Linked DNA regions of Xenopus tropicalis. The protein of the gene in region 4 interacts with the protein of the main gene of each other region in a pairwise test. Links are inferred from orthologs where the notes say so. Each region holds a gene or a part of one and is shown on either strand. Other genes may lie near its edges.

Evidence for each region.
Region 1: the proteins of nudt18 (region 4) and hsd17b14 interact in binary tests that used the Homo sapiens proteins (3 or more experiments, as listed by UniProt). The two-hybrid records come from large-scale screens. The link is inferred for Xenopus tropicalis from reciprocal best matches to the Homo sapiens genes NUDT18 and HSD17B14.
Region 2: the proteins of nudt18 (region 4) and glutamine synthetase interact in a two-hybrid assay, tested with the Homo sapiens proteins (2 studies listed by BioGRID and IntAct). The two-hybrid records come from large-scale screens. The link is inferred for Xenopus tropicalis from reciprocal best matches to the Homo sapiens genes NUDT18 and GLUL.
Region 3: the proteins of nudt18 (region 4) and nadk interact in a two-hybrid assay, tested with the Homo sapiens proteins (2 studies listed by BioGRID and IntAct). The two-hybrid records come from large-scale screens. The link is inferred for Xenopus tropicalis from reciprocal best matches to the Homo sapiens genes NUDT18 and NADK.
Region 5: the proteins of nudt18 (region 4) and apip interact in binary tests that used the Homo sapiens proteins (3 or more experiments, as listed by UniProt). The two-hybrid records come from large-scale screens. The link is inferred for Xenopus tropicalis from reciprocal best matches to the Homo sapiens genes NUDT18 and APIP.
Region 6: the proteins of nudt18 (region 4) and evi5l interact in binary tests that used the Homo sapiens proteins (3 or more experiments, as listed by UniProt). The two-hybrid records come from large-scale screens. The link is inferred for Xenopus tropicalis from reciprocal best matches to the Homo sapiens genes NUDT18 and EVI5L.
Region 7: the proteins of nudt18 (region 4) and dut interact in binary tests that used the Homo sapiens proteins (3 or more experiments, as listed by UniProt). The two-hybrid records come from large-scale screens. The link is inferred for Xenopus tropicalis from reciprocal best matches to the Homo sapiens genes NUDT18 and DUT.

What each region holds. Positions count from the first base shown.
Region 1 is NC_030683.2:114,406,471-114,410,417, forward strand, and holds the start of hsd17b14 (17-beta-hydroxysteroid dehydrogenase 14), read right to left. Parts: upstream 2,801-3,947; 5' UTR 2,714-2,800; coding exon 2,611-2,713; intron 185-2,610; coding exon 149-184; intron 1-148. UniProt on the Homo sapiens protein: Catalyzes the NAD(+)-dependent oxidation of L-fucose, yielding L-fucono-1,5-lactone, which rapidly converts spontaneously to L-fucone-1,4-lactone. Can also act on D-arabinose and L-galactose, with lower catalytic efficiency. Does not use NADPH.
Region 2 is NC_030680.2:100,277,500-100,280,999, reverse strand, and holds part of glutamine synthetase, read right to left. Parts: coding exon 3,361-3,500; intron 2,757-3,360; coding exon 2,595-2,756; intron 2,123-2,594; coding exon 1,976-2,122; intron 767-1,975; coding exon 639-766; intron 1-638. UniProt on the Homo sapiens protein: Glutamine synthetase that catalyzes the ATP-dependent conversion of glutamate and ammonia to glutamine.
Region 3 is NC_030683.2:91,985,716-91,989,808, reverse strand, and holds the start of nadk (NAD kinase), read right to left. Parts: upstream 2,801-4,093; 5' UTR 2,783-2,800; intron 1,025-2,782; exon of another isoform or gene 895-1,024; intron 799-894; exon of another isoform or gene 706-798; intron 1-705.
Region 4 is NC_030679.2:129,564,568-129,568,567, forward strand, and holds the start of nudt18 (8-oxo-dGDP phosphatase NUDT18), read right to left. Parts: upstream 2,801-4,000; 5' UTR 2,567-2,800; intron 2,554-2,566; exon of another isoform or gene 2,464-2,553; intron 1,589-2,463; 5' UTR 1,587-1,588; coding exon 1,431-1,586; intron 717-1,430; coding exon 503-716; intron 384-502; coding exon 1-383. UniProt on the Homo sapiens protein: Mediates the hydrolysis of oxidized nucleoside diphosphate derivatives. Hydrolyzes 8-oxo-7,8-dihydroguanine (8-oxo-Gua)-containing deoxyribo- and ribonucleoside diphosphates to the monophosphates. Hydrolyzes 8-oxo-dGDP and 8-oxo-GDP with the same efficiencies.
Region 5 is NC_030680.2:11,183,871-11,187,894, reverse strand, and holds the start of apip (methylthioribulose-1-phosphate dehydratase), read right to left. Parts: upstream 2,801-4,024; 5' UTR 2,733-2,800; coding exon 2,685-2,732; intron 1-2,684. Other genes in the region: pdhx (pyruvate dehydrogenase protein X component, mitochondrial), read left to right, coding at 3,245-3,362. UniProt on the Homo sapiens protein: Catalyzes the dehydration of methylthioribulose-1-phosphate (MTRu-1-P) into 2,3-diketo-5-methylthiopentyl-1-phosphate (DK-MTP-1-P).
Region 6 is NC_030679.2:134,010,146-134,014,244, forward strand, and holds the start of evi5l (EVI5-like protein), read left to right. Parts: upstream 1-1,299; 5' UTR 1,300-1,420; intron 1,421-4,099. UniProt on the Homo sapiens protein: Functions as a GTPase-activating protein (GAP) with a broad specificity.
Region 7 is NC_030679.2:103,767,502-103,771,797, forward strand, and holds the end of dut (deoxyuridine 5'-triphosphate nucleotidohydrolase, mitochondrial), read left to right. Parts: intron 1-237; coding exon 238-282; intron 283-902; coding exon 903-977; intron 978-2,882; coding exon 2,883-2,953; intron 2,954-3,414; coding exon 3,415-3,471; 3' UTR 3,472-3,796; downstream 3,797-4,296. UniProt on the Homo sapiens protein: Catalyzes the cleavage of 2'-deoxyuridine 5'-triphosphate (dUTP) into 2'-deoxyuridine 5'-monophosphate (dUMP) and inorganic pyrophosphate and through its action efficiently prevents uracil misincorporation into DNA and at the same time provides dUMP, the substrate for de novo thymidylate biosynthesis.

The DNA.
Region 1 (3,947 bases), on a different chromosome or scaffold from region 4:
TAGGGTGTAGGAGCAGAGAAAGCAGACCCAGCAGTTGCTCGCTGAGGGGGGGCAGGGATATAGGAGACTGGTCTGGTGTGTGTGTGTGTGTGTGTGAAAAAGACACATTTCCCCAAGACGTGGGAGATTCCTATGAAGAGTTCCTTACCTTTCGAGCAGAAGACCACCCTGGCGCCACTCTTTACTGCAGATACGAACAGAAGGGGCACAAAAGAGAGAAAAGAGTCAGTGCTACAGGCACATACATGCAGTATCTATGGTAAATGGCTGCTGCTGTATTGTAACACACTGAGGATCCATAGTAACACATACATGCAGCAGGATTGGATTTTGGGCTTGAGAGAGCCTTTTGTCTCCACAGTGGGGACTTCTCCTAAAGCAGGGCCCACAACCTTTCTTTCCCGTGAGCCACAGTCAAATGTAAAAAGACTTGGAGAGCAACACAGGCACCATAAAAGTTCATGGAGGAGCCAAATAATGGCTAAGATTGGCTATTAGGCAGCCTCTATGCACACTATCAGCTTACAGGGGCTTTATTTGGTAGGAAATCTTGTTTTTATTCAACCAAAACTTGCCCCCAAGTCAGGAATTCAAAAATAACTCCCTGGTTTGGGGGCACTGAGAGCAACATCCAAGGGGTTGGGCAGCAACATGTTGCCCCCGAGCCACTGGTTGGGGATCACTGGCCTAAAGCTGCTATTAGTGCCATGTGGATGCACGCTGCAATGTTTGGCGACTGGTTTAGCCTGAGATCAGGAGCCTTAGGGTAGGAGAGGCCCAAATTGTGTCCTTCTAGCACCTAGAAACTATGACTCCCTCTTTCTTTGCACTGCAATTAGAACAGGCTTGGTGTGACGAACCAGAAAGCTTTTCTTCTATTTCCTAGAAAGAATAATCAGTCACCTGTCCCTTATTACCCACACCTAGCAGTAATGCCCCCCCTATAGTGGGTACTTAGTTACTTCCCAAAGACTAGGGGGTCTGGATGAATGAGCCCCATAGTCAACGAAGTAAAGAAGATATGAAAAGCCCAAAGCAAGCTGATAACCTCCGTATTGCGTGGGTCATTATAAAGGGTATAGTACATTCTACACGACAGAGCGCCAGAGAGGGGGTCGAGCCTACACAACCCATCCCCACAGTAATAACAGGAGAAATCCTGCCCTCTGGACTTTGAGCTGAACAGAACAACCCAACCAAACAAAATGTATGTGTAACTTGTCCTTCTGCCAAGTCAAGCCAAACAAATAACACATCCAGGGCAATGTACAGATGTTGCTGGGCCCCACTATGTATACAATAGTGACTGTTTGACTGTCATTGAATTATAAGTCCCAATAAGGTGGGTGCCAGTTATACCTCGAAAAGAGCCCAAGGGGCATATATTGGGCAATGCTAATATAAAGTGCAACTGTCTGCATCTCTTCCTTCTGCTCCCCGTTCTTTTTACCTACAGCTGCTGCTCTGGCCCTACAATGTGCAGGGTTGAGGGCCATTACCCTTGCTTCCCACCTCAAGCTTTGTTGGTGTGATTAACCTGCCGACCCTCAAAATCTAACAGAAAAGTAGTAATAAAACTCCATAGGGCAGAACTCAGTTGTGGATATTGGCTGAAAATGCATCAATACAACAACATCTGGATTCTAATTTTTAGATTCGTTTTTAATTGGCCTATAGCGCTAGGATGACAGCAACAGCAAGCTTCATCCAACAAGACTAATCATAGACTTAGTTATAAATACAGGAGACAGGGTTAAACCATCTTGGCTGAAATACTGAAATTAAGGCTAGCTCCATATCCTTTTAGAGCAACAATGGGCACATCCACAAAGTTGGTGGAAATCCTTAATGATTCTCAACACAATCCATTTTTAGTATCACTATAATTGTGCTGCATTGGCTTCTTAGCACTTTAGTTCCACTTGGACATTGGGCATTTGTTGAATGCCAGTTCATAGCATATATATATATATATATATATATATATATATATATATATATATATATATATATATATATATATATATACAGTATATATAAATACATTATCCACAATTCTTCATAAACCTCAGTTGTAAAGTGGCAAAGTGCCACTTTATGTGAAGGGGTCATGGTAACAATCCCCTATAAGCACAGAGACCCATTTTTGAGCTTTGAGCACTGGATTCAGAACCATTGCCTTACTCATTTGGCTCCACTCTAGTTATAAATGCATTGAGGCGCTGCACTAAACCAGTAGAAAAGTGTGGTACTGGCGCTAAATAGGGATGCACCAAATCCAGGATTCGGCCAAGATTTAGTCTTTTTCAGCAGGATTTGGGCGAATCCATGCCTTTGGCCAAACCAAATCTGAATCCATGACGTTTTGTCACGTAAATATGGAAGTTTCTCTTTAACCTTTACTTTGCTTGGTATTCGGCTGAATCTTTTGCAAAGGATTCGGGGTTCAGCCAGACCCTAAAAAGAGGATTGGGGGCATCCCTAGTAGAAGAATGCAGGTACCCCAGTGCCCAGGGCTGCTTTATGCCACTGCCCATATACACAATAATAAATAAAAGGCAGATACATTGGGATTTAGTTATAAACTTTAGCAGCAAACTGAATCCTTACCAAACTCCTTGACCATTGCTTCTCCGATGCCCTTGGTGCCCCCCGTTATGACTGCCACCCTGTCACGGTACCGCAGACTCAGCTCTGCCCCACTGGCAGCCATGGTGCTTCTCCTGCGAGGAACCCAGTAGCAGTGCCCAGAGCTGCAGGGAGCAGAACTTCAGTCACGCTCTGAGCAGCTGATCTAACAGGAAATAAGTTGGCTGAGCTCCAGGCCCAGGGAATTATGGGGGGCGTAGTCCTGAGAAGCCAGTGTTAAGAGTTATGTGGAATCCCATTGTTTTGTATGGAGAGGAAGAAATCTGCTCCGGCAGGGTGTGTATCTGTGCAGCCTGAGAATTACCTGCTAATCGATTAACAAGCAAAGACAGGCTAATAAAGCATTTATTACTATATAATGAATGTACCCGAATGGTTGGATACAGGAACAGGGAATATTTTACATTTGAGATATTGAATTAAAGGGACAGTATATCCCTAAAAACATATTTGCTAAATATTAGCACATCAAATAGGACTTATGCTAAAATTACATTCTATTGTTTTAATTAACAAAAATAAAAATTTTCCTATTTTTTGCCATTATAAAGCACTCAAAGCAAAAGTTGCTTGGTAAATCATCTTGGCATGCCATTGTCCTTATCCACTAAAGTACAGGTATGGGACCTGTTATCCAGAATGCTTCACACCTGAGGTTTTCCAAATAAAGGGTCTTTTTGTAATTTGGATCTCCATACCTTAAACCTAATAAAAATCATTTAAACATGAAATAAACCCAATAGGACTGTTCTGCCCCCAATAAGGGGTAATTATATCTTCGTTGGGATCAAGTACAGGTACTGTTTTATTATTACAGAGAAAAGGGAATCATTTAACCATTAAATAAACCCAATAGGGCTGTTCTGCCCCCAATAAGGGGTAATTATATCTTAGTTGGGATCAAATACAGGTACTGTTTTATTATTACAGAGAAAAGGGAATCATTTAACCATTAAATAAACCCAATAGGGCTGTTCTGCCCCCAATAAGGGGTAATTATATCTTAGTTGGGATCAAGTACAGGTACTGTTTTATTATTACAGAGAAAAGGGAATCATTTAACCATTAAATAAACCCAATAGGGCTGTTCTGCCCCCAATAAGGGGTAATTATATCTTAGTTGGGATCAAGTACAGGTACTGTTTTATTATTACAGAGAAAAGGGAATCATTTAACCATTAAATAAACCCAATAGGGCTGTTCTGCCCCCAATAAGGGGTAATTATATCTTAATTGGGATCAAGTACAGGTACTGTTTTATTATTACAGAGAAAAGGGAATCATTATAACCAAACCTG
Region 2 (3,500 bases), on a different chromosome or scaffold from region 4:
AATACCGAACTGACTCCGAATTTGCATATGTAAATTAAGCGACCAAAGGTGGCCATACACGCACCGATATTATCGTATGAAACCTCGTTTCGTACGATAATCGGTGCGTGTATGGTATGTCAGCGAGCCGACCGATGTCGCAGGAAGCTGCTGAAATTGGTCGGCTCGTCGATCGGCCAGGTTAGAAAATTTTGATCGGGCGCCATAGAAGGCGCCTGACCAAAATTCTCCCTTCAGAGCTGAATCGGCAGAAGGAGGTAGAAATCCTATTGTTTCTACCTCCTTACCTGCCGATTCAGCCCTGAATGGTGTGTGGCGGATCTGACGATGTTTCGTGCGACCGATGGTTGTACGAAACATCGTCGGATCGCCACGTGTATGGCCAGCTCAAGGGGTTAAGAAGAACCACGTGTTGTGCATGCGGTGGTAAAATTTTCAACTTCCGTGTTTATGTGATTTTAAGGATTTGGTTCGGCCAAGACTATGGAGTCGCCCGAATCGGAATCCTGCTGAAAAAGGCAGAATCTTGGCAAAATCCTGAACCGAAACCTGGATTCAGTGCATCCCCAAAGGAAAATCAGAAAATCACAGATACTAGAAACCAAAACAGATCTTTTCCCAGCACTTCCATGTCTTACCTGTGCTGGCATAACTTCTGCATTTGTTCCTGCAATTTTCACACCAGCATAAAGGCAAGCCCGATAATGAGCCTCCACAATATCCCGACCATATGCCTTATCTGCACCCACTCCACAGTAATAGGGACCTGAAGAGAAACAGAATATTTGTAAAACATAAAAATATAATTATCTCTTTACATCTCCTACACTTAATATTTTATACATTAACACAATTATACAGCAGTATTGATTTTTAGAAACATACTTCATTTTATCTCCTTCACTTACTCCTTCTCTTAACCTTCAAAGCCCTCCATTCCTCTGCTCCTCACTACATCTCTTCTCTTGTGTCTCCGTACGTTCCTGGCCGACTCCTTCGTTCCTCGCAGAGCAATCAATTGGTTGTGCCCCCCACTACTACTGCTGCTGTTTCCCGCCTTAAACCTTTCTGCCCCTTACATTTGGAATACCCTCTCTGATTTCCTCCGGAGAGAATCCTCCCCCAGTCTTTTTAAAACTAAACTTAAAGACTACCTTTTGGGGCATTCACCCAGCACCTGTTCTGGGAATCAGCACTTATATTATAGTGTCACCCTCTGTGACCTACAGCACTTATACTGCATTTTCCTATTTGTGTCTGTTAGTTACCCTCCCATATAGATATGAAGCTCTACGGGGCAGGGACCTCCATCCTCTTGTGTCTTTGACTCTTAACTTATTGCAACTGTATTTATCTTGTATCTATCTGTATTTATTGTTGTACTTTGTATTTATCTATTATTATCTTAATAATCCCGTTTGTATTAATGTACATATAAAGCGTACATAAGTAGCGCTTTATAAATAAAGATATACATACATACATACATACATACATATAGGATTCCAGAAGTCTCTGATAAGATAAGATGAGGTAAGCTGTAACCATAAACATGTTCTTATCATGCACACTATTGTCAAGTAACCAGAACTTTAGGCTACTGTGTTGTGACATAACAAGGATGTTATTTAGTCTTCTGAAATTGTGCAAAGTTTCCTCCTGCAGGCAACTTTGTGCAAATTCAGAAAACCGAAGTGACGCATAGGCCTTTCCACCTGCGAATCCCTGTGTTGCTGCTGGAAAGGCATTTCGAAGAGATTAGTCGCCTGCGGTAGCAGAGATCTATTGCAGGCGTCTAATCTCTCCATGAGACATTACTGTAAAAGTACTGACTCTATATTGGTTTGGGCTGTCACATAACTGTAAATACTCAACAAGCCAATAAGAATCACAAAATATGTAAGGAGGTAACTAGTAATTTTTCACTGTCAAAGACATTACAGTTTTTCTAAATCCTTGTTGAATCTACCCATACCTTGTGGTCCTGGGAAGCCATTTGAAGGCCAGCCAAAAGGGTGTCCATCCATACCCAGCAATGTGTATTCCTGTTCCATGCCAAACCATGGATGCTCATTGGCCATCATGTCCATTATCTGGTTACATGTATGACGCAAGTTTGTTTCTATAAATAGAAAGAAGTAAAGGCTTTATTAAAACATCATTCAAACAAAGTATTGCCCAATGGAGCTAATTATTGGCTAATGTCTGGAAAATAAAATGCACGGTAGACTGTATGAAAGGCAGAAACAGGCCTTATTGGAAATGATGGGAAGGCTAAACCCACCATCATTAAGATATATAATCCTAATACTAGGAGCAAGTAGTTGTCTTTTAATGGTAATTAATCAGGAATTAAGCTAGTATGGAATCCGTGTTCTAAAAAAAGTCACATGGGCATATATACTATTAACGTTATTCACTGAATTAGTGCTTGAGTATTTGAGTACATATATATATATATATATATATAATGTACAGTATCTGCAGAAATATGATGCTCAACAAGTACTGAAAGGCAAGGATGAGGTGCAGCACTACTAGTTTGGCAAGTGACAATTCACACTGGAAAAGTAAAAAAAAAAAAATATTCTTACCAGCTGTTTTTCGGTTGTATTTGAGCACCTCGCAGAGTACCAGCTTGTTGGGGTCCCTTCGAAAAGGGTCTCTAAACATTGCAACTGGAATCAGGTACATGTCACTGTTGGAACCCTCGGATTGGTATGTGCTAGATCCATCGAAGTTCCATTCAGGAAGATCTGTACAAGGTTAGAGCCATATTGTAGGGAAGGCAAAACCTTGACCTGTTTAACTGCAGGCAAAGAACCTACTGAATTTTCAGTTCTGTCTTTCAGGAAGTGTAAAATAGGATAGATATAAAACTATTTGATTGTATTTCCAGGCAGATTTGACAGAGTTTTTTGTCTTTTAGTGTGTTTCAGTGGGGTAAAAACATCTAATGGCAGTGTTTGGCAAAATGTCAAGCGACTGGATGTTACTGAGGCTATAGTGTTAAACACACCTCAGTATAATATGTAATTCATATATTTTCCTTGCTTATGGGATGCACTAGATTTATAGTCCTACATGAAGAACAATAGGTAGATTGGTATAAAAGTGTAAAAGAGTGTATAACAGAACACTTGCAGACAGCAAGGCCTTAGGGCCTAAACCCATATAACTGGATGCAATTAGTTACTACTCATTTCTGGTCTTGAAAACAGCCTGCATCCTTAAGGTTTAACTAGTCTGCTGTATGGGTGATACATATAATTATTTGCAAGTAGATTGTGTTGTGTTTTTAAGAAGGAAAGAGAGAAAAACAAGACTTGATTTCTTGGCTGTAGAAGGGGAAAGTCCCACCTTCTATGGTCTTGGGTTCACTGTCCAGAGTGCGAGTCTTGCAGCGAAGACCCTCCCCGGTCCCATCAACCCAGATGTACATAGCCTGCACCTTATCTCCCTGTGGCAGTTCCAGATACATCTGCTTTATGGCCTTACTC
Region 3 (4,093 bases), on a different chromosome or scaffold from region 4:
TCACATCGCCCTCCTCCTCCGGCACCCCTGTATAAATCACATCGCCCTCCTCCTCCGGCACCCCTGTATAGATCACATCGCCCTCCTCCTCCAGCACCCCTGTATAGATCATATTGCCCTCATCAAACACCCCTGTATAGATCATATTGCCCTCTTCCAACACCCCTGTATAGATCATATTGCCCTCCTCCTCCAGCACCCCTGTATAGATCACATCGCCCTCTTCCTCCAGCACCCCTGTATAGATCACATCGCCCTCTTCCTCCAGCACCCCTGTATAGATCATATTGCCCTCCTCCAGCACCCCTGTATAGATCATATTGCCCTCCTCCAGCACCCCTGTATAGTTCACATGCCATCCCCAAGTATTTCTGTATAGTTCATATTACCCTCCTTCAGCACCCCTGTATAGATCATATTGCCCTCATCCAACACCCCTGTATAGATAATATTGGCCTCTTCCAACACCCCTGTACAGATCATATTGACCTCCTCCAGCACCCCTGTATAGATCATATTGCCCTCCTCCTGCACCCCTGTATAGATCATATTGCCCTCCTCCTGCACCCCTGTATAGATTACATTGCCCTCCTCCAGCACCCATGTAGAGATCATACAGTCCTCCTCCAACACCCCTATACACATCACCCTTGCTGTGCCAGTCAGCACGGTACATCACATAGCCATGAACATATCACACAGTACCTCACCAGCAGTCATATACAAATCACATTCCATTCCTCATACATGAACTCCTGCAGTCCTGTACATATGACACTGACAGGAGCCCTATACAAATGACAGTGTGCTCCTCCAACTGCTGGGTACTTTTTATATCACTGGCCCCAAAACTGCCGAACGGTCCCCTTGATGCCCTCGCCATTTTGCCCTCACCTCTTGCTGCACCTTTCTGACATTTAAACCCTGCGCCACCACAAGTCTACATTCAGACCTCTTGCTCACTTCTTTGGATGGGGAAAACTAGCTCCATTTCCTTGGTGTCACGTGGCGCTGTGACGCGGGGCGGTCCGTCTGATCTGATTGGCGCTACACAGACTGGCTCCTGACGTCACACTCTCCCGCCCACATCTTGGTCACATGGCTGTGACATCGCGGCATGTCAAAAACCCGAGTAACCCAAGTTGCTGACATGTCCTGATGCGGCGTGAATGGGAGAAAGGAAGTGCCAGCAAAATTTAAAAGAGGCTTAAAAGGGTGTAAGGGCTTGGGGGTCCCTAGATGATACAGGCTTAGCACACAATGAACTGTTTCCAGTTTTGGGTGACTGTAGAAAATGTAGTATAAGCAACACATTGAGTAGTGAAACTTTAACACAAATTCTACAGATGAGCTTGTGCGTAGAATTCTCCATCACAGATGACTGATTTATAATAAAAAGTACTTGCAAAACAATAAAGGAATGGTCCCTCCTTTAACTGAAAAGAACTTGCTTATGAGCCACAGAGTATAGCGGTTGTGGTGGTTTAAAAAAATGATATATATATATACAGGGCTTAGGGTTGTATCTACATGTACATAAATGTGTGTGATGTAAATATTGAGCAGTCATTAGATTTAATGTTTGTAGGGTTGCCTGATCTGGACTGAGATTCAGAATAGGTTGTGGCATATTACATCCACAAAGGCCCAAACAGCCCCCCATCAGCCCATTATATTGACTTTCTATGGCATCTAACAGTAGCCTTTCCGCGTTTGCCAGAATCGAAACAGATTGCCAGTCTGGGCCTGAGGGTTGCCTACTGGCAGGCTGGCAGCTATTTAACTGCTCAGTTGGGATAACTGTTGATTAATGGCAATGTTATTATTTATCTCCAGAGAAGGTGGCACTGCTAGATGTTTGTATCACAATGGCCTGACGTGCAGCGCTATTCTCTTTATGGCTGCACATGTCATGTATGTCACTTGTGATGTGTGACATTCCTCAATAAATTTAATAACATGAATTGTGCCTTATTTTTAAATTTGTATAATTTTCCTAAAATACTAGTTACTTATTTATAAGCCCCAGTAAGGTCAGTGAAACTTTGTACACTACGGCTCACTGCACCAGGCTTAAACCACACTGTGGCACAAGCTGTGTATACAAGCCAATACCTGTTTCCATCCATGCACATAGCTACAGCCAGATTTGGCTGCTCAGTGTAAACTGTAAATCAAACACCAAATGATATTGCCCCTACCATCCCTGCTTCTCTATGCTGAATATATCTCAGTACTGGTATGTGCATTACAGCAGGTCACACACACATCCAAACCTTCTTATTGACTGTCAGTAAAGTGAACAGGATGTTATCTTGTTTGTCACTGACAGTTTCAGACAAGCTCGGAAAGGAACAATAAAATAAGATGAAAACAATAGTTAAATATTTGTTGGAATTGCAATACATTTTTCTTAAATCATCAACTCACCTACCCCTAAATATGTTCCTGTCCCTAAAAGCATTGGGTCGCTTAGATGGAGAGATCCCACAGGGTTTAACAAGGGAAACAGAACCTGCAACTGCTTGGTTAATCATGAGTTCAGAAGCTCAACAGACTGATAATATCAATATATACTTGCAAAAAAGTAACTACTTGTAACTACCAAAAAAATGCTCACACTTTATCAAATCCAGTGCCAGTTTTAATGTGGAGATTAATTGCTGCAAAACGTACAAATATAAAAAAGCTATAACTGTGAGTGTTCTTGGATCATATCTGAATCCTATAAGTTATTCAGATTTTAGCTATTAAAATGCAGAAAATATAGCACAGACCTTACCTTGAACATTACTTGTTGTGTGTGTAATTGCTCTTGAGTCAGCCAGCTACACTTTTACAGTAATACAGATGCAATGACTGTCAACATAAATATGAGGCAATTGTTACAACAGAGCCACAGCTAATGTGTAATATTGTGTTTGTTGTGAAAGTTGATTTTTCCTGTTTTCAAAGACGTGTCCCACATTTGAAGCATGTTATGGTTAGGTTTTCAGCATTGTATAGCAATTTTATTAATTAGTAATTAATTAATTAAGTAAAATAAATCAACTTACATCAAGCATCAGCTTGACTATGTTTTTTATCATTAATGTATAACTTGCATTTATATTATTTCTACCAAAGCGTATAACTTTGCACTTGTCAATATTGAACCTTATTTTCCATTTTCCAATTTAATCAAATCGCTCTGCAAAGTGGCAACATTTTACACAATTTATTATCATCAGCACATTTGCACAATTTAGTATCATCAGCAAAAATAGCAGCAGTACTTTCTATGCCCTCCTCCAGGTCATTGTGATTATTTTGAAAAATGAAAAATAAATTAGGTTCAAATTTTAACAAAAACTTTTACTGTTGTCAAATGGTTGTGTCAGTCTGAACATGTGTTTTTGTAAAAATGTTTCTAGGTATTTATGTCTGTATACAGATGGGAAACACTGACAACGTCCCTGATGAGTGCCTCAGATGAGAAGCAAAAGACCAAACAATTTGCTGGGATTTTGTTACAGCATTTACTGTGGCTTGTCTTCCAGAGCAACTACAGTGGATATAAAAAGTCTACACACCCCTGGTAAAATGTCAGGTTCCTGTGCTGTACAAAAATGAGACAAAGATAAACAATTTCAGAACTTTTTCCACCTGTGACCTATAAACTGTACCACTCAATTGAAAAACAAACTGAAATGTTTTAGGTGGAGGGAAGAAAACCAAAAAAACTAAAATAATGTGGTTGCATAAGTGTGCACACCACAGCTGTGTTCAGAATTAAGCAATCACATTCAAAATCATGTTAAATAGGAGTCAGCATACACCTGCCATCATTTAAAGTGCCTCTGATTAATAAAGTTCAGCTGCTCTAGTTGGTCTTTCCTGACATTTTTTAGTCACATCCCACAGCAAAAGCCATGGTCCACAGAGAGCTTCCAAAGCATCAGAGAGATCTCATTGTTGAAAGATATCAGTAAGGAGAAGGGTACAAAAGAATTTCCAAGGCATTAGATATACCATGGAGTGAAGACAGTCATCATCAAGTGGAGAAAATATGGCACAACAGTGATATTACCAAGAACTGGACGTCCCTCCAAAA
Region 4 (4,000 bases):
CCCTTCGCCCCCTTGGTGGTGCAATCCCAGAATGCCACAAGACCTGGGCGGGTCGTTGAGCAGACATCTCAAGGAGTTGAGAAAGCTCGCTCTGCTTGTGGAACAAAGAATGACAGGAAGGCAATGAGAATGGATGGCACTCCGTAGAACCCACAGCTGCCCCTCTGGGCCAAAGCACAGAAGAACGAGACGCAAGGCCAAGTGGGGCGACGATAACACCTGAGGCAGGACAGAGGGATGTGAAGGGAGTTGCCGGTATGCCAAAGCCAGCTTGATGTGGGGTAGAATATCTCTGCAGCGCAAGGGTAATGGGGAGACAGTATCCCACCACGTGGCCTGCAGAGATTCGGAGTCTGCTAAAAGCTCGGACTTCAGAGAGCCACCTACAATGGAGAATACAGGTTAAGAACATGCTGCATCCAAACAGACCAGAAGCTTTATGTGTGCAACGTGGTGCCTAAACAAGCCCAGCCCCAGCCTGACTCTAGGCTTCTATAGATACCTGTCTGCCGGGCCAGGAATACAAATCGGATCCAGGCAGTTCCTCTCTCCTCCACAGCCAGAAGGGTGATCGCTTCACAGGTAAGTCCGGTCTCCTCAGTTACCTCTCGGCATAATCCTTCCATGAGAGTTTCTCTCTTCTCTAAGCGCCCAGCAGGCAAGTACCAGGTTCCTCTGCATTCAGGCTTTGCCTCCTGCATCATCAACACCTCATCCTGCAAAACATTACTCTTACTACAAAAAAAACTGGCCACAGTCCTGCCATCCTTCACTTGGGCACAGTCTGCCCTAAGGTTCCTTATTCCTGTATTGTCCCTGGCACACTTGGCTGGCCCCTACTGGCCTTTCCTTGTGCATTCTTTTCCCACTGAAGAGAAAACAAGTAAAAGTATCCTATCTCTAAAGGATAACTAAAGCCTAAAAATTAATAGGTAAAAATAATGTATTTTATATACTGAATGTACTGTACCAGACCAGAGGAACAGCATATAACAGTAACAATCCAGGCCTATGAATTGTCCAAAGCAGTGCCCCATGATCTGATTTTTTACTGTTGAGTGTCAGCGGCACTGCACATGCTCAGTGTGCTTTGGACTGATGTTGAGATGCAAAGCTTAGTGGTTATCATTGGTATGAGGTTACATTTGTCAGAAACGCTGATGAAGCCACAGGGCTGAATATGAAACATTTTTGGTGCAAACCGCCATCCCACTATGTAATGTGAATCTGAATTTATTGGTAATCCAATATGAACTTTATACAGTATATAGTGAGTGGGTCCCTAAGCTCAGGTAAGTGCCAGCAGCACAGAGTATGTGCAGGGAATCAGCAGAAAAGAAGATGGGGGGCTACTGGGGCATCTTTGGGGGCACAGATCTTCCCTGCTAAAGGGCCTGTCTACAAGCTTTGATTTAGCTTTACTGGCTCACCCGCTCATTCAGTAACACTCCCATGACGATGTAGCAAACGTTGTGTCGCAGTCTCAAAGGTCGGGGGGTTTCAGGAGCCACGTCATATGTTTCAGGCAAAGGGACAGCCCCACCTTCCAGGATGATGCTGAGCTCCTCTTCCAGGGCAGAAGACATAACTGACATGGGCAAAGGACAAGGAGCAGTGAGATGATATAAAGGCAGCAGCCGGGGTTTATCACTGAGATGCATTCAGTAAAACTACATTGTGAAGCAATATTGATGCACTGCTCACAAACAGGCCCAGACTGGGACACAAAATAGGCCCTGGCGTTTCAAGTACACAGAGGCCCAAACAGCCCCCCACCAACCCAATAAATAGTGAGTGTCTATGGCATCTTACAGCAGCCCCTCTGGCATTTGCCCCAACCCACAGATTCTGGGCCTGCTCACAACTAACGCACACTGACAGCATTTAGGGCACAGGTTCCCCTAACAAAACCAGCTAGAATTATACCTGATGCTGCTATTCAGTGAAATTCATAGGGGTCTGAGTGAAGGGGCAACTCCAGCAATAACTTTTTGCCTTTCTAACAAATATATCTATTGGCATTAGAAGGAAGGCAGCATCTGAAAGGAGTCTGTTCTCTCCTGTCTGCGTGGGTTTCTTACAGGTACTCCGATTTCCTTCCACACTTTAAATACATACAGACAGGTTCATTGGCTCCTGATAAAATTAACCCTAGTGTGTGTAAAAGTGATAGGGACCTTAGATTGTTAGCTCCATTGGTGCAGGGACAGATGCACCCTAAGGCTGGCAGCACCTTTCCCTGCAGGGGTGGACTGTAGGCTTATAAGGTGCAGGTAGGTTGATATCATGAGCTAGATGGTCTCTGAGCCAGTGTAACCCTCAGTGCATAATACCAAAGCTTAGTGCTGGGCAAAGAGTGAAGCCAAACCAGCCCTTATTGGGAAATGGGCAAAACAATGACTCAGAAGTCAGGAATCAGTAATTATAGAGCTGAACCCAATCAGCCACCGTATATTTACTCACAGGGATACTAAATGCACAGCATGGAGCTGCACAGATTCTCTCTCCCACCCATACACCCAGGCATAGCTCCCTAACAACGATACACAACATTACTATTACTCACCTAGTGCTTCAGACGCGGAAATAGACTGTCATCTTCCTGTTCTCGGATTGGCGCCCCCTAACCCAGCCCCCGCTTCTGATTGGCTTCCACTGGCTTTGGTTTTAGAAAGAACGGGGGAAAATATGACAAAAAACTTGATCAAATGAGAAAAATGGGTGGAATGTGGGTGAAATGTACCTGCTGTTTTCTTCCTGCCAGTCCTCAGCTGCGGTTACTAAATGTACAATTTAATCAACTTTCCCGCACAGCAAACGCCGTGTTTGTTTCCACCGCTAGGTGTCGCTAGTCCGACACTCTTTTTCGCCTTATTGAATGGAGTATAACCAGGAGCATTCTGGGAGTTGTAGTTTCGTTTAAAGCTGCAGGGCTGCCGGCTACGTATTGCTGAATTAATATTTAAAATCGAGTTTCCTACTACAAATCAGCTTTTGCGGCAGGAGTGAACTTTGCAGTCTGGCTTAATGTTTGTATGCTCCCTTAGGTTACAGCAAGGCCGCCGCTCCCTATAAGCAGAGTACTCAGTCTGCATAGGGCACCAACTCCCAGGGGGGCACCATCCCAGCTGCTCCAAAAAAAAAACATTTTTATATATTATAACATACCCCCCCAACACTGTCCCGCCAGTTTTTATAGCGCATCCCGCTGTCCTGGATAGTTCTATCAATCTATGGGGGCAATTGGGGGCACTTACTATGGGGGCATTGTCTATGGGGGCAATTGGGGGCACTGGGTGTGGGGCCCCTATAGTAGGTGTTTTTTTTTATTATTTTATTTTTACTTCCATAATATTTGGGGGAGGGGGCACAAAAGTAAATTTCTGCTTAGGGCACCCATTTGGCCAGCAGCGGCCCTGGGTTACAGACCCCTGTTTACTTACCGGCTTTCTAGTCATTTATGGCCCTGTCTTGGCCAGTTGCACCTCCACATTTTGTGCAGGTAAAACCCCACCTTTTGCTATATTAAATCCGTATTAATGACAATACCTGAGAAGTATCATTTTCCCTGACTGGGCCAGTGGCAACCCTACTGCGTGTGGTGCCTGATATCTGATATGCACACACATTACCCAGCATTCAGTGCCAGCCTTGGCACACAGTGATAGACAAGTGGTATCCAGCATGGAGCTCAGTACAGAATGGGGGTAAAGTGGGCACTAAGCAGTGAGTTATGCCAGTACAAGGGGCAGTGAGGAATGCCAGATGGCTAGTGGTGTAAGTGCCATTGGTGCTTACAAGTGATGTTGGCAGTGAATTCTCCAGGCCCAGCGGCTGCTCTCCCTTGCCCCTATGTTATAGCGCCAGTGCATGTATCTGTGGGCTGCCCATGCCCCCTCTAAGCACCACTCTCCCTGTAGAACAAGCTCAATTTGCCAGGACTGTTCTAGTGAGTTAGTTCATCCATTCCTTTAAAGGAGAAAAAAAGGTAAAAACTAAG
Region 5 (4,024 bases), on a different chromosome or scaffold from region 4:
TGATTCCCTTTTCTCTGTAATAATAAAACAGTACCTGTACTTGATCCCAACTAAGATATAATTACCCCTTATTGGGGCAGAACAGCCCTATTGGGTTTATTTAATGGTTAAATGATTCCCTTTTCTCTGTAATAATAAAACAGTACCTGTACTTGGTCCCAACTAAGATATAATTAATCTTGATTGGAGGCAAAACAATCCTATTGGTTTTATTCAATATTTAAATGTTTTTTGACAGACTTAAGTTATAGAGATCCAAATTACAGAAAGATCGCTTATCCAGAAAAGCTCATGTCCCGAGCATTCTGGATAACAGGTCCCATACCTGTATATAAATATAGCTTCTGCATAATACCCTGTGCCAGTGCTAGCCATAAAGGGTACTTTATTGTTAGGTATTGGTTTATCTTCCCCCCCAAAAATACATCTAAAGCTTAAATTCTGATTTCTATGGCCCCTCCATGTAGCTCTTGCCTCTCCCAACACCCAAGACCCATTTGGTATGTTCTCACCACATCCTTTCACTTTGTAACCTTGTAGCCCCCTCACTGCACTGTAACCTATAGCCCCTGTTCCAACAGACATTAAAGGGGATGTAAACCCTGTTGCACAGCGCTGCTCAACCAAACTTTACTCAGGTGTTGCTGGACTACAAATCAAAGCAGGCAGAACTCTGCCCATTCATTGGCTGATGAGACCTAGCATGTATGTGTGCCTTGGCTTGTTTGTATGCACTGTGACTCCTGTGATCCCAGGGGCGGCCCTTAGTACTTAAAATGGCAGTTTCCTATTTAGGATTACCCAATGGCACATACTACTAAATTAGTATATTTTTAATGAAAATGGTTTATTTCAGATGAAGCAGGGTTTTACATATGAGCTATTTATGCAATATATTTTATAGAGACCTATATTGTTTGGTGGTATAGTTTTCCTTTAAAGCAATATTGCACAATAATATTTTTCCTAAACTTTTTCCCAAATCTTCGCAGCCAGCGACTGCTTTAAAATGTGAAAAATATAAATATATATAGAGATAATGATGGCATTTTCCCCTCATTATATGGCACAGGAATCAGACATGGGGATAAGGGCAGACTTGTTCAGTGCTGGGAAACTGGGTTTAATGCTCCCAACTCCAATTGCAGGAACAGAGAACATGGAGCCGGATTTATACAGATCAGCTGGGATTCTCATTGGGAGATTTTTTTGCATTTTAAAGAAGACGCTTGCTTTGAAGTAGTGACAACGCAACATCAAAATAAAGGTTGCGGGTCCAGTCTTTCTTCTTCTTCCCTCCCCACCCGCATCCTAACTGAGCCCTACTTCTGGGTCTGGCTGCGTCTCTTTATAGGCACGTGTCTGCCCCCCTCAGTGATGTCACAGGTGGGGCAGGCTCGGGTCTATAAATAGATGCAAAACTGTAGGCCGGGTTGGGTACGGGTGGAGAAGGGGCGGGTTAGGGGCAGGTGAAGATATAGGGGAAAGTTTAGGAAATGTTTTATTGTGCAATATTGCTTTAAAGGAGACATATTGCATAATTGGGAAAAATGCTTATTTTGTAGGCAATTATTAATAATATACGGTGCTGGTTTCACTTTGGGCTAAAAATGAATCCCATCTGTAAAAATGGCCCCTTTATTGGAGCTCCCTATAGATCCTATCACTTCTCCGTCCAGTGTGAAATGAGGGGTGGGTGTGTCCTAACGGTCCCTGCCAGAAGTACAGTAGGAGGGGGAGAGCCAATCACAGCCCTGCACTCACACAAGCACAGACAGGCTTCAGTTCCCTATCAGGTTAGCCTAGCTGCTGATTGGTTCCTATCCTACAGTGCAGTGTATGGAGGGCCGCCGGCTCCCCAGCTCATCCAGAAAATTCAGCCAGCAGGAAGTGGAACAGATGGCCGGGACTAGTGGGGTTTTTGTGGAATTTCTCAATAAATCAGTCACAACTTTTTTAAGCACAATCCTTCTATATCTAGAGGAGTATAATACACTGGTACATTCATAATTTTTATAGGATATGTCTCCTTTAAGAATACAACCCCTGATGTTGCTGGACTACAGCTCCCAGCATGCCTCTACCTTTATTATATGTTACATTATTCTGGGATTTGTAGTCCAGCAACAACTGAATAAAGTTTGGTTGAGAAGTGCAGCAGGGTTTATATCCCCTTTAACCTAAAGGCCACCCAAGTGCACCCTACTGACTCCTATGGATCAGTGGAACTGGTGCAAATGTCTATAGCTGGTATGTAGGGTTAGTCGCTGTCTGCTTATAGAAACTCCTCTATTAATCACTGCCAAATTAATTTTCTGCATTTGAAGTAATTAAAAATGTCAATTTTTTTTTAAATGTGTAAATGTACTTGCTATTGAAAGCAGTATTTGTCCCCTTTCTGTTCTCTGGTTCTGACAATGTAGCACCACAGTTATTTAGCTGGTTTCTGCGAAGGTGTTTCAGCAGTCAGAACCAGCAGTGCAGGAAAGATAAAACAGACAGAGGCTGCCTTTAGTAGCAATTACGTAGAGAAATAACTTTAAAACCAGTGAAAATGGGCAATAAATATGTTTATAGGAAAGTTGCTTAGAATTACATTGTCTTTTATGGAGCAGCATTCAGTATTACTACTCCTACCTGCCCCTGTGTGCTGCCCCTCTCCCTGCCATTAGCCCATGCATTACCTTGGCATTGTCTGTTTGATTGCAGTTGTCTCTATTGCAGTAATACATGTCTGTCAGGCAGGGCAGCCCCGGGATGTGCTTCAGTGTGTAGGGCTGGGGGTGTTACTGTGCAATGCATACACTGCCTATAGAGCAATCAGACAGGCACAATTACGGGCAGCCCTACCGGGGTCCTCACCGTTCCGCTAGATATAGAGCTCCGTTCTTTTTTCGAACGCGCAATTTTTACGCTAATAACGTCGCGTTACTCCCACAAAGTTACAGTAGTGTTACGCGGCACCGCCGAGGATATTATTCGTGATTTTCTGTCAGGCAGTATGATGGACGGCTATCCCAGGGTCCTGATCCTAAATAAGGCGGTGACCGGGCAGCCGGTTTCCCTAGGACCCCAGCGCAGCGCTGTGACATTTCTATTCACAGAGCGGAAACGGTGCTTTTGTAACGCTGCTTGTGGGGTTGGTCGATAGGATTTCTGGCAGCTTTTTTTTTATTATTTGTATCAGGCGGGTTACAAGGCAGCCCAGGTCGGGGGGGTCCTTGGTTCCAGGAGGTGCCGCAATATGGCCGCCTCCTTGAGACTTGGCTGTCAGGGGTTTATTAGGTCATTTGTCGGGGGGCTCCGGAGTCGTAACGGAGAATGCAGAGTGAGGGCCCTACACACAGCCGGGATCCTCAGGGGTAAGTAGGGCCGGGGGGGGGGGCTTTGCTTGCTCCTTTGTATCTCTAGCTGCTTATTGTAGCTGCCATTGCCCCAAACACTCACCCATGGGGGTTCCCCAGTTGCCAGTGAGGTTGCCCCATGGGGGTTCCCCAGTTGCCAGTGAGGTTGCCCCATGGGGGTTCCCCAGTTGCCAGTGAGGTTGCCCCATGGGGGTTCCCCAGTTGCCAGTGAGGTTGCCCCATGGGGGTTCCCCAGTTGCCAGTGAGGTTGCCCCATGGGGGTTCCCCAGTTGCCAGTGAGGTTGCCCCATGGGGGTTCCCCAGTTGCCAGTGAGGTTGCCCCATGGGGTTCCCGGTTGCCAGTGAGGTTGCCCCATGGGGGTTCCCCGGTTGCCAGTGAGGTTGCCCCATGGGGTTCCCCGGTTGCCAGTGAGGTTGCCCCATGGGGTTCCCCAGTTGCCAGTGAGGTTGCCCCATGGGGTTCCCGGTTGCCAGTGAGGTTGCCCCATGGGGGTTCCCCGGTTGCCAGTGAGGTTGCCCCATGGGGGTTCCCCGGTTGCCAGTGAGGTTGCCCCATGGGGGTTCCCCGGTTGCCAGTGAGGTTGCCCCATGGGGGTTCCCCGGTTGCCAGTGAGGTTGCCCCTGAGGTTGCCCCATGGGGGTTCCCCAGTTGCCCCTGA
Region 6 (4,099 bases), about 4.4 Mb from region 4:
TGGACTTATATATATATGTACATATAAAATGAAAGAGGCTGCACTCTGACCAGCTCAATTTAATATATATATATATATATATATATACACACAGGAAAGAACAGAGCACACCCTAATGGTAATCAAATGCCCCGGGTGCTTGCACAAAACATGTATACATCAAGACAGTGAGCCGCACACACAGGGACTTAGCGATAGAAGTGGTCAGGGCAACTGACCACAAAGTCCCTATGTGTGCGGTACTCTGTCTATATATATATATATATATATATATATATATATATATATATATATATATCTATTATATGTTTCCTATGTTACTTGTACACAGAGATTATAAGAGAATTGGATTAAACATTCTACCTTCAACTAGGATAGTGATGTAGCAGTGAAATGTAAGCCCTCCGTGTTTAAAAGAAAGGGGGGGAATGTTATCGTTATTTTGCAACCCCTAAGTAAAGAAGGATGGCAGGAGACCACTTCAACAGCTCCATGGTCAGGGGAATGGGACTCCAGGAATGAGGATTGGCTAGGGGAGACTTAGGAGCCCAAGGCAGTGAGGCTATCAAGCAAGCAGCTTTGGCTCCACCAAGATATGTAAGTTGGGTTCCCATTGGGCCTAAAGTACCTCAGCCCAACACTGCAGGGGAATTGAATAAAAGATCCAAAGGTTGCCCAGGTCCAGTAACCCATAGTAACCAATTAAAACGTTTGCTTGTAAACAGCTGACCTGACCATTCTCAAATGCTTCCAGCTGATCAGTTGCTATGCGTTACTAGACCTGCAGCATGCATAGCATTATATTACACACCCCCCCCCGCCATCTAGCGTTAGCATAGAGGTTATAGTTACAGCTCTAGGAGGACCACTGCAACCCACAAATTAAACGTAATAAAACGTAAAGGGATAATACAGCCGTGGAGGTCTGACTATTATTTGTAACAAGGGAGGATGCATTTATATCTAAATATGTGCGCACAGCAGCACCAAGGCTACCAAAGAGCGCAGCTGCCGCTCAAACCCTACGCCTCAGCCACTGGATATCATTTCCTGATCTACCCCCGCCCATTTAATTGAGCCACGCCCAGCTGTCATTTCTTTGCCTAATGATTGGCTGCTTCCCCTCCGTAGCTTCGCTTTGATTGGGTCAATTCCGTCGTCGGCTTGCCAAACCGAGCGTAACCTTATCCTCCAGTCGCTACAGGGAAGTTTGCCTTAGCCCCGCCCTCCTGACGCCGGCTCGGCTTCTCATTGGTCATACAATAAGGCTGGCGTGCTGCTATTGGCTTTTGCCCTGCCCTTACGCGCGAAAGAGGGCGGGGCTGAAATGCCTGCGTGAGAGTGTCTGCTTTCGCCTCTGTTCCGTTCCTGTGAAGCCCCGGGGAGGGAGGAGTCAGTGTGGCAGCGCCGGGGGCCTGAGGTGAGATATACGGTGCAAGGTTTGCGTCTGTCAAGCGCTTCGTGTGCGGCGGCGTGACGTCACTCAGGCGTCCCTGGTACAGGTGTCAGCGGGCACAGCTTTCTGTCAGGGCGTCATTCTGCCTCATAGGGGCACTGTGCCCTGGGGGAGTGGGTGCTTGGATACATATAGGGTGGCTATGCAGGGCATTTGTACTATATATATATATTTGTGTGTGTGATACATATAGTATATATATATATATATATATATATATATATATATATATATATATGTATGTATGTGTGTGGTGTATATATAATATGTATGTATGTGTGTGTGTGTGGTGTATATATAATATGTATGTATGTGTGTGTGTGTGGTGTATATATAGTATATATGTATGTGTGTGTGTGGTGTATATATAGTATATATATATATATATGTGAGTGTATGTGGTCTATATATATATATATATATATATATATATGTTACACGTATATATATGTATATAATCATTTTTCTGTTACCCTTTGTGTTCCTTTCAGTGCAAATGATACACAAGCTCTATGGATCCCTGTTTGTATCCATGTCCCATTCATCACACAGTCAATGGGTCCCCTTTTTCCTGTTACCGTAGCGATATGCCCCTTCAGCTGCTGAGAGGGTTACGGGAAAATGTGTGACCCCCCCCCTTCCCCTCCCCAACGATGAGGTGTCCCAACCCCACCCTTTGAAAGGAAATCACCCAGTTTGTAGGTTCCAAAATGGAAACTGCAGAACTGACAGTGACTTCCTATTGGGACATAGTAACATAGTAAGTTGGGTTGAAAAAAGACATATGTCCATCACGTTCAGCCATAATGCCTCTATATAACCTGCCTAACTACTAGTTGATCCAGAGGAAGGCAAAAAACCCCATCTGAAGCCTCTCTAATTTGCCACAGAGGGGAAAAAATTCCTTCCAAGATGGCAATCGGACCAGTCCCTGGATCAAAAACGTGTTTGAGACACTTGGGGGGGCGGCAGGACTGTGGTGCCTAACACTTATTTCAGGGTGTGCCCCCATTCCCAATGGTAGTTCAGCAGGGTGCCGCCGGCCATTCTTAGTTTGCTTAGTAAATAGAGAAGAATTCAGCTGGCACGACTTCCGTTACAGCAGTGCACCCGTGGCAGTGCCAACTATCGGGCTCCTGGCACACTGTAAAACACCCATAAGTGCACCCTTTATGCCCTGTACCAAGCTGTGCTCAAAGGTGCTGCTGTGCCAGCAGTGAGTATCTGAAGGAAAATGCTGGGAGGCACGAAGCTGACCATTTTTGAAGACACACAGAGCTACTAGTAGCAGCTACTTGTCATGGTTATAGAAACAGACAATGCTGATCATTTACTGATAATTGTCTCTACGTGTGTTGTAGCAGAAGCAATTCTCAGTATTGTCTATGGCAGGGTATTTTTTGTAGTTTAGTAGCAATGAAAAAGTAGCTGCTACTAGTAGCCCAGTGTGTTTTCACCCTAAAGCATTGGTTCTCAACTTTCCTAATGCCACAACCCTTTAATACAGTTCCTCATGTTGTGGTGACCCCCCAACCATAAAATTATTCCTAAATATGTGTTTTCCGATGGTCTTAGGCGACGCCTGTGAAATGGTCGTTGGACCCCCAAAGGGGTCCCGACCCACAGGTTGAGAACCACTGCCCTAAGGCCTTGCGGTGGGTACAACAAACACCCTGGTTTTACTGAGCCCCGGTGACTGCACAGAGCTCACAGCACGCTGACATTTTAATCAAATACAGTTCTTTCTGAATGAGTGCTTTAGCTGTGAATAGGAACTCTGTTGTTTCTGCCTCGGCACAGCAGTGGCCCCCATCCATTCATGCCCAGTTTCCTGCCGCATCCTTCACCCTGTACCAGTCAGTGATCTACAGTGATCTACCAGTCAGTGTGCCGCTTTAGTACATATCTATTGCTGAACAGCCACAGGTTAAAGGTTCCTACTCTGTGCTCATCCCATCTTCCTATTTCCCACCATTCTTTTTATTTCTGCCTTTCCTTTATTTCCCATATACTTTTAATATTCCCCAAAGAGCCATAACTTTTACAACCCAATGTGCCCAGATCAGGGGTAAAATCTCAGGCACTAATAGTCCTTGCAGCCGGTATAATAGACAGGTCCCAGAAATTTTGAGCATTCAAACCTGCTGACACAGGGTGAAGGGGTTTATAGTAGAGAATATCTATATCTATAGCACTGGGAAGCATTTACTACATTTGGGGCGTTTTCCCAAAATATTGAATACCCAAGTAATAAACACATAGGGGTTTACCGCCACTTGCATATGTTTTGTTGAGCCCCTATCATATTCTCTGCTAGTTGGTGCCAACCCTCCACTCTTGCACATTGAGCATTTATATATTGAAGAGGCTAGGGTGTGCTGAGGTCCATTTAAATTTTGTAAATTAGAAACCACTAAAGGGCTGCAATTTAGGAATATCAGTGTAACCATGGACAAGCAAACCTATGGTCAGTCAGTTGTAAACAAGACCCCAAATCCTATATCTTGCTTGTAGCACGTACCAATATGGGGTATATATAATATGTGGAAGGGACTGAAATTCCTCTGTTCTACATGTGAACACACAGAGCAGTTCTGTGCCTCATTAAAGGGGTTGTACACCTTTAAATTAACTTTTTTTATG
Region 7 (4,296 bases), about 26 Mb from region 4:
AAAGCTAATCATCTGCAATAACATCTTTACAGCAGGCAAAATAGTGTAGCTTGAGCTTGCCCTGCTGGTCATGTTTTCTACAGCACCCTAACTACCACAGATACATTTTAACTTCAAATAGGGATTTGTTGTATATAGTTCTATTGCATTGCCTGTATTTCTTTCAAGGAATGCAAAGTGGATAGTTTAAGATTTGCATGTTAGTTGCATCTCGTGACCATTTTCTCTCGTCTCCAGCTCCACGTTCTGGCTTAGCTGCCAAGTATTTCATTGATGTTGGAGGTATGTATATTCACATTGCTTGTATTTTCAGGTTTTTTTTTTAAGGGCCTTTTTACTGCCAGAATTTATGCATTTAGTTTTCTAGTGGTATAAAACATGAGACAAGGCAAACACTCAGTTTTTGGATTTTTTTTGTTAAATAACCCTGAATAACTCCAGAAACTCATGTTTTCCATATCTGATTGCATAAATAAGGCCCTAACAGTTTCTAGAATTGTTTTGCATTCCTCTTGTTGGGGAAAAAATAAATTGTATGCCTGCAGTGTTTGCAGTCTTTATGTCCTATTGCTATAGAGACAATGTGCCCTTTCTTCAGAATAAATTACCTTGCCAGTAAAACATTATTCGCTGAGAAGATTCTCACATTTAATTTCTCTTCACCTGATTTCTCTATAACGGAGAATACAAGTGAACTTTATTTAATGTGTCATTTTTAACCTAATATGTATACTACAGATTTTATAAAGAATAGTCAAGTATATTTATATCCTACTGTAATTACCCCACTGCTGTAAATCCAATTTGTTTTTTTACAAATGCTGTCCTGTATGTATATCCTTATTAATGCAGTTTGTTTTTTTTTTTTTTTTTGTATTATGTAAACCTCTCCTTACATGAAGCCGGGGTCATTGATGAGGACTACAGAGGGAATGTTGGTGTTGTGTTATTTAATTTTGGGAAGGAAGCTTTTGAAGGTATGTAGAATTAATGGAAATGACCTGCATATTTTAAAGCCGATTGACTGGTGATCATTCTACACAAAACCAAATAACAACTGGTTAGATCATTGATCAGTTTGGCAATGTATGCGGTGAAAAAATAGTTTATTAAAGATCTGCATTTAATAACAGAGACATATTAAACCTCTGAGTACTGGTAAGCAAGTAATTTAAATGCTGAGATTTACGTGAGTATTACACACTCTAACTTCCTCTCACACATTGTCTTGCATACACCCTAAGGGGTTGTTTGCTTATGCAGTTTAAGCAAACAGACAGTTTACTGCAGTATTTTCGGTGGGTGTATATTATGGGTTTTGGTCAGTTAAATGCCCATAAAGGGCCACATTGTCCTGTAAAGGCATAAAATTGATTTGCATGGCATTAAAGGTTAAATAGGACAAACTACTAGTTTTTTTTTTAAAAAAAAAAAAAATATTCATCTTTTATAATGTAAATTAAGTGGATGATGCTTTATTAAACAAACATTCCCAAATATACAGAAACTGAGGCAAGAATTTTGTTTAAATTGGAAACACATTGAGATCCCTCCTCGCAATATTCTTCCTGACATCTTGCAGTAAAAATCTACCTTGCCATAAAAATCAGCTTTTCACAATGACTCTAATGGTTACTTGCTACACAGGTAGTTATGAAAGAGCTTTGTAGACTGTACTTGTTGCTTTGTATTCTGTGCCTGCTACCCCTTGCTTTTCCCTAATCTTTCCTTCACGTGAGAGTTGTAGACAACATTACACTTATTAAAGATAGTCAGATGAGCTGTTTCTAAATGAAAACTAAAAGCTTTTCTATGTTTGTTACCATGTATTAAACCCAACCCAAAAAGTGCAGATTAGGTTCAGCTGAACATGAAAAGTCATGAAATCTTAACATTATTGATAACTCTGTCCTTTGCTAACCCGAAGAAAGAAATCATAAGCCAAAAGTAGATTATGATGTTACTTTATTGTCTCTGCCTTCTCCTTGCATAACTTGGATGAGAAGAGTTTCCACTATAAAAGCCTGCTGAATTTATCCACTTGTTGCTTTCAAAGATGGTTAATTTTAGTTTGCTGAAATTCACACAAATTAGGCAGCCCCTTTAAAGGAGAAGGAAAGGGTAATACCTTTAGACAACTGAAGGCATACCTTCAGTTGTCTCAATAGTACCCTTAAGTCTCCCCATATTTCACCTGTTCAGATGATCAAAAGTCAAACAGGAAGAAAAAATGCTGAGCCGAGTAAAGAAAGTTCCCATAATGCCTCGCTTCTGCACAGACACCCAGACCAAGTGAACATGCTCAGTTAGTATGACTATGATTCAGCTTCCTGCTGATTGGCTCAGACCCACATCCCTAAGGGGGGGACGGAGTGAGTCTTAGCATTCTTGAGGGAGGGGGGAGCAGGAGAGAGGCATCAGAGAGCTTGCGTGTCTCTAGCACATGAATTACAGACACAAGAAATCTTTTTAGAGAACTCAGTGCAGCATTTCTGTGAGTGCTTATGGCTGTATTTACATAGACCTTTCTGATAAAGCTTACTTAGTTTTTACCTTTCCTTCTCTTTTAATGAAACTTTAAATGGAGAGCTGTCCCAGATCATTTATTAATGCAGGTTCTGCTAAGTAAACTAGCAGTAACAAATGTAAACTGTTCTGTTTCCCCAATCGTACTGTGGTTTATATCTTTATTACTCTCTCTAAGACTTGCTGATATTGCTAAAATCAGTCAAAATCACAGAAGATTGCCTGCCTGTTTAATGGTGTATAAATTAATTCGTTATTTATCATGTGGTGTTTCATCTTTATGTAATGTTTTTCTGTAGTAGGAAAAAACTCTGGTATAATTTGGATTTTATGTTGCCTTTTTTTTTTTTTTTTAGTGAAAAAAGGTGATAGAGTGGCACAGTTGATATGTGAGAGAATACTATACCCTGAACTTGAAGAAGTCCAAGTAAGCTATTTTTTTTTTCTGTCCTGTATGTATCTCTGTATTAGTTGAACAGGTAAAGCATCTGTTATCCAGAAGATTCAGGAATACATAATCATATTTAAAGTGATACACCAAAAAAATTATTTTAAAAATATATAAACCTACTTCCAAACCTACTTATAGGTCATGTTGACTGTTTTTTCCTAAAAGTCCTGTTTTTCTACATAAATTCTACTGAAGATCCTGAACCCGGCTGCCTGGCAACCCGACTGTAGCTTTTCAATCTGTCAAAAGGACTATGTCATGAACTTAATAAGACTGCATTAACTAAGTCAACCTATCTTATTGGGGTTTTTTTTTTAATGTTTAAATGTTTTAAAGCATGGTGGAAGGATGCCTTTGATTCCCATACCTGTACTGTATTAAAACTGTGCCCCATTGTAGTGTTTTATTTCACAATTTCATTTTATTTTTTATTTTAGGCTTTAGATGATACAGAACGTGGTGCTGGTGGCTTTGGCTCTACTGGTCAGAATTAAATTAATTCATTAACTTGCATTTATTGTGGGTTTTTTTGTTTGTATAATGCACTGTTTAGTTGTTGTCCTTTAAGGTGCTATTTAATAAAACCATGCTGTAGTTTTGTCTGCTTTCTCTATGCAGTCACTGTTTATTAATACAGGCTTAAGTCTACAAATGTATATGAAATGAATTTCTAAATCATTAGTCCTTTTTATGACTCTCTTTTTATTGTAAGATACCCACTTCCTGTCTGGGTGGTTGAAAAGATATTAAAAATGCATTGTAAACGTACATATTCATCTACACAACAAAAGAAACAATAAAACATTTGGAAAAAAAACTCTGCAAAATTGCTTCTGAATGGTTTTAGATTAAATAATTTTAAGGTGAGGAATGTAGCAGTTCTGCCACTTTTATATGATTATGGTTATTATTAACATTCTTGGACACGAGGGGCCAGTTGCTATTACAAATACAGTGACCAAAGTGCAACTTCGAGCACAATTGCCAAGTTTTTTTTTCCCAACTTCGTTGCAGTTAAAGTAAAAGTAATTGCCTTTACACTTCTTTGCAATCAGATGCAGTTGTACCAATGTCCATTTGATGGCATTTCCAGTGTTCTTGTGCAAGTGACGTGTGCATCCTATTCTTTGGGTGCATAGACACAGGGCACTTAGGAAGCCCTAAAGTTACTGCATGGTTGGTAGGTGGGAGCTCCGGGGTTCCTTGGCCTCAGTAGGTACAAGTGCACTCAGTTTGGAATGGGAGGCAAGCATAGAAGGACTGAGCGGTGCAGAATGCAACTGTATGGAAGTGCAAGGAGCACAGTTTGACATAAGTAC